2 linked regions of the Arabidopsis thaliana genome follow. The protein of the gene in region 1 interacts with the protein of each later gene in a pairwise test. Each region holds a gene or a part of one and is shown on either strand. Other genes may lie near its edges.

The links.
Region 2: the proteins of AT4G03290 (region 1) and ACA2 interact in a two-hybrid assay, tested with the Arabidopsis thaliana proteins (one large-scale study listed by BioGRID).

What each region holds. Positions count from the first base shown.
Region 1 is NC_003075.7:1,440,670-1,444,958, reverse strand, and holds AT4G03290 (EF hand calcium-binding protein family), read right to left. Parts: upstream 2,414-4,289; 5' UTR 2,147-2,413; coding exon 1,682-2,146; 3' UTR 1,321-1,681; downstream 1-1,320. Other genes in the region: AT4G03292 (Polynucleotidyl transferase, ribonuclease H-like superfamily protein), read left to right, coding at 1-287; PETC (photosynthetic electron transfer C), read right to left, coding at 3,242-3,346, 3,429-3,611, 3,711-3,828, 4,271-4,289. UniProt on the Arabidopsis thaliana protein: Potential calcium sensor.
Region 2 is NC_003075.7:17,681,896-17,689,264, forward strand, and holds ACA2 (calcium ATPase 2), read right to left. Parts: upstream 5,211-7,369; 5' UTR 4,914-5,210; coding exon 4,740-4,913; intron 4,620-4,739; coding exon 4,565-4,619; intron 4,474-4,564; coding exon 2,528-4,473; intron 2,447-2,527; coding exon 2,288-2,446; intron 2,209-2,287; coding exon 2,037-2,208; intron 1,950-2,036; coding exon 1,651-1,949; intron 1,570-1,650; coding exon 1,330-1,569; 3' UTR 964-1,329; downstream 1-963. UniProt on the Arabidopsis thaliana protein: This magnesium-dependent enzyme catalyzes the hydrolysis of ATP coupled with the translocation of calcium from the cytosol into the endoplasmic reticulum.

The DNA of each region.
Region 1 (4,289 bases):
ACGCGGAGGTTCTCGGGTTTCTCCATGCCTTACAAGTGATATGGATTCACGGATTGCGTTATGTTTGGTTCGAAACCGATAACAGAGACCTTGTAACGTTACTCAACAATGACGAGGATCATCGCTTGCTTGGACCTCTTCTTTGCGATATACGTTATTGGATGCTAAAGCTACCCTACTGCTCAATCGACTTTGTCAATCGGGAGAGAAACTCTGCAGCTGATACAAGCTCACTACACGCCGGTGTCTTGTTAATCAGAATGATAAAGCCCCAAATTTGGTTCTGAACCTTAGACCCATTTAAACAAACCAAAGGCCCAATATTTGTACAAGTTTAGGTTAATAAACTTTAGTTCAGTACCTCAGCCCATTTAATTTAACCAAAAGCCCAATATCTGTCCAAATTTTATGATGGCATGCCTAAATTGTTGTATGGGTGATGGTGACGCTTAACACAATTGTTTTTCAAATTCCTCTAATACTGCGACCCATTTACTCTGACGAAAGTGACATTAGACGTCCAGATTCATTGTTTGCGTTAATTTATATGATGCATATTGGAGAATGGCGTTTACTAAGAGGGCTATATTAATGTCTATGTCTGGAGGATCAAGAAATTAACAAACTATGTGTAAATATTAGTAATTTAGATAAGTATGAAAGAGAAATAATATATAAATTAAAAATATATTTTTTAAAAAAATTAATTATAAAAATGCCATTGAATAAAAATAATTGTAATATGCGAATGATAAATATATAAATATTTGTTTAACGTGCTAAAAGCTATGAAATCACGATAAGATTATATATTTATCAATTTAAAATTGTAAATCGGTATTTTTTATTTATGTAGATTCAGCATAATAAAAGAGAATTAAACTTTTTGTTACATAATTAACATGATAATAATTATAACAACATGATATATAGAATAATAACATGCTAACTTATTGTATAACAAAATAATATTTATATGAAAACGTTAAGATATTCGATATATGAATAATAGTTAACGAAGTTAACCTGATAACAATGAAAAAATTTAACAATAAAAATCTACTCCTAATATCTACTCCTACAGCATGCAACATTATTGCTCTATACTCTATAATTGACTTAATCAATAACATAGGGGTACATGCGTAAACAAAATGCTAACAGTAAAAAGGGAACAGTTAAATTGAGGAGAGTTAATTATCCAATTTTCTGAGCATATGCAATGATATTTTCCTTACTAAAAAAGTTTCTTGAATCCTATCCTATCTAATAATGTTTTTACTATGTTGCATACAATTTTTTTTTTTTTTTTTTTTTTGGATGTTAATGATATTTATTTTTTATTTGGGGTCTTAGTTTTGGCTTATAAAGATTGTATTAATTGTTTGAATATCCATTGTTTTAAGTGATTATAAAATGCTTATAAACAACACATCTACTTTATCATTCTACATGTGCATTATTTGAAATTCAAGGTAATTGAATGTAAACAAAGCATCACTCATCACATTTTAAACATAAAACACCTACAGTTTTTTACAATGTGCTCTCGCATGTCTTGAAGATAAAATAATTAGTCTATGATCATGTATTTTCCATTTAGACCGCAAGAGAAAATGGTTAAGCAAATAACCAAAATTAAAAACAAGAGAAGGTAAAAAAAGAAGAAAAAAAGTTATTATCAGCTCAAAGAGCTAAAAAAGCGACCCTTTTTCATCATTTGTCTAAACTCCATGTAATTAACCCTACCATCACCATCAACATCCACTTGCATTATCATCTTCCTACATTCCTCCAAGGTCTTACCTTGCTTGAGTCCCAAGGAAGATAAAACCGCTTTCAATTCATCCACCGTTATAAACCCATCTCCGTTCCGATCAAATACGTTGAACGCTTCCTTCATATCTTCTTCTCCTACCTCGTCCTCATCTTCTACCATTATCGTCTTGTAGAGCTCTCCAAACTCTTCAATGTCAACACAACCGTCACCATTAACATCGATCTTTTGGATAATTTGTGTTAGTTCGTCTTCGGGTATTATGATACCGAGGTTCTTGAATGACTCGTTCAGCTCCTTCGTAGTGATCTTCCCGTCTCCGTCCTTGTCGAACATTTGGAACACACGGTTCAGCTCCGTGGAATCCATTTGTTTTAATAAATTTAGGGCTTTTTGGAGGTTGCGTGTGGAGGAAGCAAATGTGAAAAAAGAGAATGATGAGACTCCTAGAAGCCGAGAAAGAGGTCTTTCTTGGCCTCTTGGAGACCCGATGAGGGTAGTGTCAGAAATCAAGGAGAATGTTAAAGAGAATTGGTGGAAATTCTTAGCCAAAAGCTCGAGGTAATAACATGTAAATGGGACAAAAATAGGAGAGATAGAGAGGGATTTGTTTTATTGTTGGTTGAGAGGAAATGTTGGGTCTTTTAAAGGAGACTTGTGGCTTTGTATCGAAGTCTTCTAAAAGTTTTATCGGTTCTATAAAATTCAACCCAAAAAACATATTTGTATATTTAGCAATTCTTTATGAAATATTTACTAATATTTTTCATAGCCGAACAAACAAGATTATAAACATCAATCTACTTATTTTACTTAATCATAGTTACTTTACCATTTAGCCGGCAAGAGACCAAATCATTTCGAGTGGTGAGCCACTATGTGGTACTGTCCCAAGTTTGTGAAGTCTTTGACTTCATTTTTATGATAAGAAATCAAAAACAAAATGTCAACGAAAATAATAGTTTGTTATTATCTCGGTTTATTGATTGATGTATGCTCATATGGACAAATAATTACAGCAAACAACCTGATGACTGGTGAATATATTTGTAACATCCTTGAAAAAAATAAATGATAACGTAAAATTAAAGCAATGGATAAAAAGTGCCCACACGCAGGATCGAACTACGGACCTTCAGTTTACAAGACTGACGCTCTACCACTGAGCTATACGGGCCTTTGATTTAATCTTTCAGTAATGTATTTAAATACCTGTTTTGATTGCAAACACACCTGATCTTACATGTACCATTGTCAACAAACAAAAGCTAATTACTCCCAAAGTGACCCTTGAAAACGGGAAATTAAAAAAGAAACTTGGGAAGTGAATGAACATAATATTTCATATAAGAGGCAAGAATTCACAGAGTAATTGCGATGAAATGTAGCTTATACATTATAAGAACATTCAAACAAGTCTTACACAAAAAGACCAAATCTTTCTCTTTTTCTTGTTGAAGAGTCTTAAGACCACCATGGAGCATCACCAGTCCTGAAGTCAGTTTCCACCCATGGAACAAAAAGAACCTTCCCAGCTTCATCTATATCCGCGTGAGCCAACGCTAGCGACTGTTCCATGAAATTAAGGTTACTTTAGACGGTCCACTTTAGAGATACGCAAAAAAGAAAGAATGCAATGTATTTGACTTACCAATGGGGCTGGACCTCTAACGACTCTTCCTTGGGCGTTGTATTGGGATCCATGGCAAGGACATAGAAACTTGTTCTCAGCTTTGTTCCATGGCACAACACATCCAAGATGAGTGCACACTGCGTTGATACCGTATGTCGCTAGAGTCTTGTCGTTCTCTACAACTAGGTAAGTCGGATCTCCCTATAACAAATAATCCACACCCATTGAGATGCAAGAACCTTTATTGAGTTCTTAAAGCAGTGTTTCAAGGAGGGCTAAATAAGTTGTTCATGATCTTACCTTTAATCCTTGGGTCAAGGTTCGGTCACCGGGACCATGAGTCTTAAGCCATTCCGCTGCAACTACATCGTTTCCAAGGGCATCCTTGGCTGGAGTACCACCACCTCCACCTCCGGTTCTGCATTTTCAAAACAACGTAGAGATTATAAACCAAGACCAACGAACGAAAATAAACTATATCAAGTCTCATTAATCTCACATCTCAGTAACACCAAAGAAGCCATATACTTATTCATAACTACATATTCGATTGAATCAAAACCATAAGCTAACAAAGTAACAACATACAAGAGTAAATTCAAACTTCACCACAATACAAAAGAGTCTCTAGATTTTATCTATCTAATGCAATCATTATACTGATAGAGTTGAGGTCTAGCTCATAAGATCCATGGGAACCTAGGTTATGGGGAGAGGAACCAATGAACACATATACCAACACTCTCTCCTCTACCTTAACGATGTGGGACTCTTATCATATACAGTAAAAGAAAAGAAAACCCATGAATCTCATTCGAAAAATGAAATCAAATCGAGGAACAGAGTAAAAGCAATCTCACCCAGGAGGAACAAAGAAGG
Region 2 (7,369 bases), about 16 Mb from region 1:
CTGAAGAAACAACAACCCAACGACTTGTTTAAGTGAGAAACAACTGTCTCATACAATACAACTTGGGATCCAAAGTTTTGGTTCCATTAATTAAAGCTTTAATTCCAAAATGATTAGCAACGAATTAAAAGACTTATTACAAACAAAATGCATTCTTACAAATTAAGAAGCATAAAGTACTGACAGAATATAATTAAAGATAATGTGTGTGTGGTTTAAGGCCAATGTTTTGTTGCTCTAAGAGATTATTCAACAAATCAAGAAGCATAAAGGGTCAAGCTTTACTTCACCAAGAACTAGTTAATGCTTCTGAATTTTCTGTTGCCTATCTTTCAATGAATATTAGTATGTCCCAATTGTTATTTTTTTTTTTTGCTTATTATCATTGAGTTAAACCATTTTGTTTCTGTTGGGTTTTGTGTAGACATATGTGAGATTCACGGGTAACACAATTTAGTTACAACTCTCACTTTGGTTAGGAGATGGATAAACTAATGACTAGTGAGATTGAAATATCACAAAAATAACTAATCTTTATGTAAATTCTATTTTCATTCTAGATATTAATTAGTCCTTTATTTATGAACATTTATTCACACGATCACAAACTTAAACAATTAGTTATAGAATATTTTACCGGTCTAATGTTCACATAGAAATTATAATTTACCTATACGCCTACAAGGGACAAATGACTATAGTATACTCATTTTTTCAATCTAAAAAATGGTTTTACTTCATAGAGATCCTAAATTGATAACATTTAAAAATGTTTTTTTCTTTTCTTAAAGAAGAGTCTTTCTTATTTATTACAGTTTTGAGATTGACAGGCTTTGGAATTGTTATATGGAATCAGTTTTGACTGATGAGATATGATGTCAGGAGAAGAGGCTCCCACTAAAAGCCATGACTTCATTGAGAGATTTTCTAAGTATATCAAATTACAGTCTGGCTAGATAACAATTTTGTACCCAAATAATCATTTTTCTTATTTTAACCTTTTGCTTCCTCTGTTTTTTCAATGTCCTTTTTCTGTATTTTTGCATTTGTCATTCAATAGAGACCAAATTTAGATTCCAAAAATGAGAAAAAGAAAGAAAAGAGAAGTGTCATTTCAAAGATACAGAGAGTTTTACAAAAATGGAGGAAATCAGATATTTGTCCTTAATAGCACTAATCAAACTGAAAAATAAAAGTCAAGAATAAAAAACAGAGTCATTGCATAATGCAAAAACTTTGTTAGAAGACTTGTCCGTTCTAAACTTTGAAGTAACTGGTCTAATATAGAGATCTTTAAAGAGTGGTTTCGAGCCAATTTTGATGGAACGATCAAACGGGAATCGTCTTCAGTCCAGCGGCGATTGGCATACCCAAGAAACCTATGAAGATACTGAAGATCCATTGTGTTATTGTGAGTGGTGTTGTGCTTGCAAATGTGCCCAAGAACTCGATGATTATGATCTGAAAGAAAACCGTTGCACCGATCACAACCACAAAGACGTAATTGTCCAGTATTCCTTTGAAAACATCGATCTCTTCCATCTCTCGCGAGCTTATCTCGTTAAACACCTGGAGTTTTCAGAACCAAAGTCATGTCAAGAATCTATCTTTATAGCTCGAGTATTGTTATCAGTAATCTTTGTTCTTTACCTGACAGAAGACGAAGCAGTTGAAGATAAGAGTGTTTAACATGAGAGTTGAGTCAGGACCGTCGAGACCAAACATAGCCTTCCCTTTGGCTTGGAGAATCCAAATTACGATGAATTGGTAAACAGCTTGTCCTAAAATGTTCCTCCACATCGCATTAGTGATGAAATTGCCTCTCCTTCCAACAGGTAAACGCTTCATCAGCTCGTCGTTTGGTGGCTCTGTAGCTAAAGCAAGAGCTCCAAGTGTGTCCATGATCATGTTCACCCACAACAATTGAACAGCAGTTAAAGGAGCACTTCCTGAAGATTATCATAAGAGCTGTGTCAAACAAGGAATCCAAAATGATTCTTTTCGAGACATTGAATTGGTATTCTTACTAAACCTACCGGTTAAACAAGCTGAAGAGAAGTTAACAACCAGTGCAACAACATTAACGGTAAGCTGAAACTGAACGAATTTCTGGATGTTTATGTAAACAGAACGTCCCCATTTAGCAACTGTGACGATCGTGCTGAAGTTATCGTCGAGAATGATGACATCAGCGCTCTCTTTCGCCACCTAAAAGGTTATACAGATAGAAACTTTTAGATTCTTTAGCTCTCACAAATGACATAACAAAATCTTATCATATACTCACTTCAGTTCCAGCAATTCCCATTGCTAGTCCAATATCAGCTTCATGAAGTGCAGGTGCATCATTTGTTCCATCTCCAGTGACAGCAACAACTTCATCAAACGTTGTCCTTAACTGTTTCACAAGTGTATGCTTATCCATTGGTGAAGAACGAGCCATCACCTGTATAAGAACATAGGAAAGGTTATGTTTCAAAAACTAAACAAAAAAAATTAAGTCTTTAGTTCATGAAACAAAAAGCACCTGAATCTTTGGAATCAGTTCTAGTAACTCTTCTTGATTCTTCTCTCTGAATACGGGACCTTCGATGGCTATACCGTCATCAGTTAAAATCCCACATTCTCTAGCAATTGCTTTCGCGGTGTTAATGTTATCTCCTGTAACCATCCTCACAGTGATTCCAGCACGGCGACAAAGCTCAACAGATTCTTTAACTCCAGGACGTACGGGATCTTTGATTCCCACAATCCCTACGCAAGTAAATCCAGAAGCCGGGATTGCATCATCCGGCGAAAACCCGCCTTCAATATCCATATAAGCAAGGCAAAGAGTTCGAAGAGCTTCATTAGCAAACTCGTTGATTGTAACATTCAGATACTTGATTGATTCTTCATCAAGTGGAACAACCTCACCGCTCGAGTTTACAACTTTGTCACAAGCAGCTAAAACAATCTCGGAAGCTCCTTTCGTGTGAGCACGCATACGTCCTCCCTCAGGAAGCTCGATTACAACTCCCATTCGCTTCTTTGTGGAGTTGAAAGGCTCAACTTTGATCACTTTGTAAGACTTCCTCTCTTCTTGGAACTTACCTCCAAGAGATAACCCCAACTCTAATATAGCAGTCTCTGTTGGCGTCCCCAAAAGCTCGGTTTTCCCATGTTTGTTGACAACAACTTCGCCTCCTGTGTTATTGAAAATCGATTGAATCAACAACTTCACCGCAGATTCCGGGATTTCTGATTGCAAGCTAGAACCTTTATTTGCTACATCTTGCACATTCATGCAAATGCAAGACTTCACAACGGTCATGTGATTGGTTGTGAGTGTACCAGTCTTGTCACTGCAAATCGTCGTTGCAGATCCCATAGTCTCACATGCTGCTAAATGCCTCACAAGAGCTTTATCGTTCATCATTTTCTTCATGGCAAACGCAAGACTTAGAGTCACAGCTAAAGGCAATCCTTCAGGAACCGCAACCACAACGATTGTCACAGCAATAGCAAAGTATTCCAAGAGCTCCAATGCTTCATCACCAGACCAGACCCAGTGAGTTCCCGTTGAAAGCTTCCTCATAAACATTCCTTGCACCAGAACCGCGAAAGTAACCACCGCAAAGAAAAGACCAATTTTGCCAATGATGGTAGCAACTCCATTGAGTTTCACCTGCAGTGGAGTTTCATCATCCCCTCCTTCGGTCAAAGTCGCCATTAGCTTTCCCCATTGAGTCCTCATCCCAACTGTAGTAATCATCATCTTACAAGATCCATCTTGCACTTTGGTTCCAGACATAAGGAAAGGATTCTGCGCATTCACCATCACAGGCTCACTTTCACCAGTCAAACTCGATTCATCTATCACCACAGAGAATCCCGAGAGGAAAAGACCATCAGCAGGAACCTGATCTCCAATCGCCAGATGAACAATGTCACCAGGAAGCAAGTCGTAAATCGACAGTTTCTGTCTAAACCCGTTCCTTGTCACCTGAACAGTGATCTTCTTCTTCTCTTTATCCAAATCACGGAACTGCAAAGACTGGCGGTAATCGCTAGTAGCTGTAACAAACACAACCAAGAGAATACTAGCCGCAATGCCAAGACCATCATGTGATCCTTTAGGCCATCCTTCAGTAGCTATCCCAACAATCAAAGACACGAAAGCACAAACACCAAGAATCATAAGAGTCATATCCTGAAGAGCTTCCCATACAAACACCCAGAAACCCCTCATTTCGCTCTCTGCAAACTTGTTGATTCCGAAAAGCTCTTGCCTTTGGGATAACTGAGCAGCCTCAGTAGAAAGGCCATCTGTGGGAGATGCCTTGAGCTTACCTGCAAGCCCATCAACTCCACCATGGAACTTGAGCTTCTTAACATCATGACTTTCAACAATTGATCCTAATTCGTCAGCACAAATCTCAAAGCCAGCAGCTTTGACATCTTCAGGGACAGTGTAGTCACTTGGAGAAACACCTACAACAAAAACTCACATAAACAAACAAACAAACAAACAAAAATCGAAACTTTGACACAAATCAGCAACTTTGATCACATATAAACTCACCAGAGATAAATTGGAAAGCAGCTTTGGAAACAAGAACAGCGATCCTTAATTTCTCCTGTATATAGAAAGTTTTTAAGATCCTTCATCGCTATACACAAAATCCATCTAAAAGTTCGAAGATTTCAACAAAATCATTAACAACGATGACATAGAAGAAAAAGAAAAGAGACAAAACCTGGTTGGTGCGACGCATCGCGGCGGCTTCATAGCGTTTAGAGAGATTAGCGGTGAAACGAAACCGACGTTTAGGGTTCTTAACAACGCCACAGAGATTACGCCATTTCTCAAGCACTTCCTCTGAAGAATGCTTCGCTTTCACATCGAAATTCTCGTTTAGGTAACTCTCCATCTTCTTACTCCCTCTTCTTCTTCAATCTCCTCTGTTTTTTTTGTCTTCCAGCTTCAATGGCTTTTTTGTTTGGCTCTCTGTTTCAAATTCTTCTGTATATTTGGTGGAGAAGAAAAAAGGAACCTTTTTATTTTTTGGTGGGTGAAGAAGAGAAATCGGAAGCTTTTAATGGAGAAGAAAGGTAAAGTTTTTTTTTATTCAAAGATCTGAGTTTTTTTTGCTTAAGCATTTGACCGAGTCGTTGAGTTTATTAACATTTGGTGATGAGAAGCTGAGTTGACTCGTTTTAAATTCGTGTGTCCAACAAAGTTTCTCTTACATTTTTAATAAAAACATTCGACTTATTATTGAAGAGAATAATTAAATAAAGACATGCACTACTTTCCATTTATAACGAACGTTAAATCATTCTTGAAACATTCATGCAGGCCATGACGAGTACATTACGCGTTTATGTTATTATTGTTGAGTTTATGATTGGTTTTTATTCCCAAATTTGTGAATGAATGTGGACATTTTATAATTAAAAAAATTAGAAGATTACAGAAAAAAAAAGGTTTAAAAACTAGTAAAATACTATGGATGAGTAAATGACGTAATTTTTAGATTTACTCAATATAATATATACTGTATAGAAAAAAATGGAATATAATATACAGAGAGTTTTAATTGGACCATATTTTGCAAGATTTTTCTAAGAAGTTTACCTTTCGTAGCTTTGGTTTTTTGTTGTTTGGCTGCTCACGTTGATTTCACTTTGACCAAATTGAATGACAATTGTGGGACAAAAGTGCGGTGATTTTTGACAATAATAAGAAATGGGGTCGTTTATATAAATAAAGAGAAATTGGAGGACCGTTGACCCAGAGACTATTGCAAAAAACCCGACACTTCGGGGACGCCACGTTGGACCAAGCCCATTGGTTCTATTTGGACTCAAAAACATTGATTGCTTTATGTCTTTTTATTATTCGTTTGGTACTAATTGCTTATGTCTCTGTTCATCATTCTAGTTCAATAACTAGTGTTTTTTATTCTTCTCCAATTGAATAATGCGTTTACCTTGACTTCATGGAAAATGACACTTTCAAAAAAGTTGGACATGCAGATTTGGGCTTAGAATGGGCCTTTATAGGCCTTGAAAGCTATTAAGATCTTTCTTTACACGGCTTTGTTTGCTTTATTGGCCTTTAGGGCCTAACAAATTTTGGGCTCTGGTATATGTTTGCTTCTCTAAAATATTTGGGATGCTTTTGAGAAAGAAAAATAAACAATAAAACTGTTAATCATTTTTTTTCTTTAAGCGATTCTGCTGAGTTATGTGTTGGACAGGCATTGGAACAGCTGTGGGATGACGTTGAAGTTGCTCGTGTGGTTGTGGTCTCCGATTGTCACTCTGCCATGGGAAGCTAGTTCGTTACCCCATAAGTTGCCAAGATTCTGTGATCTGCTGGATAAAATTCACAGTTTAGCCATTACCAAAAAAATAAAAAAATCACAGTTTAGCAACGGTTTTGAAGGTTGTAATTTCACTTGGTCGCGGTTCGGACTGATGTCACTGCTCCTGCTATCGCTAAAAGTGTGACTAGGGAAGGAAAAATTCAGTTATATATGGGACTAAGAAAACCAGCTTGGTTTCATATTCAAGTGGTGGACGAAGTTCGTTGATGAGATATTTGTTGTGTTACGAAATCCATTAACCAAATAACATTTTGCAATCATAAAAAGTTGTTTGAAAGAGGTCTAGACGTACGTTGATGACCCATAAATTTGTGTAAATTCACAAATATATATTTTTCGGATGATTCTACACATATCATATCAACCTCCATGATTTTGGTATGCCGTACAATTTTTAAAAAACTTTAGCCGGTGTCACTTATATGTAGTTTTAGTGGGAATAGTCATGTCAAAATTATTATTTTGAGTTAGGTTTGATTGAGTTGGTTCTAATAATGTATGATATTTTCTACATCATTTGCTCTACATTGTTCCGATTTAGATTTTACAAAATGGTACGAAATTGGTCACCTAAAAGTCTGTTTTTTTACCTTTGTGTGATTGATGGGAGACCTACAGGTTTTTTTTGTCTATGGCTTAATTGAAGGATAGTAGAATATTTTTGTAAAAATATTTGATCATTTCATTACTAATCGAAAAAGATAAGTTAACGGTTCATTTCTGGGGCTAAACAATCCTAACCATGGGGAAGATGTTTTCTCCAAGTATATAAATCTTAATTAGCATACAGGCATGCATAACAACCAAATTAGCGAATGAATATGGGTTTATATGCGAGAAACAAATTAGGGTCTACTGTATACATAAACAATGTAATTATGCATTTATGCTATGGCTGTTTGGTGTTGTGTATAAAACATAGTGGCACATATAACCGAAATTATTATCGACTATATATATATATATATATATATATATATATATATATATATATT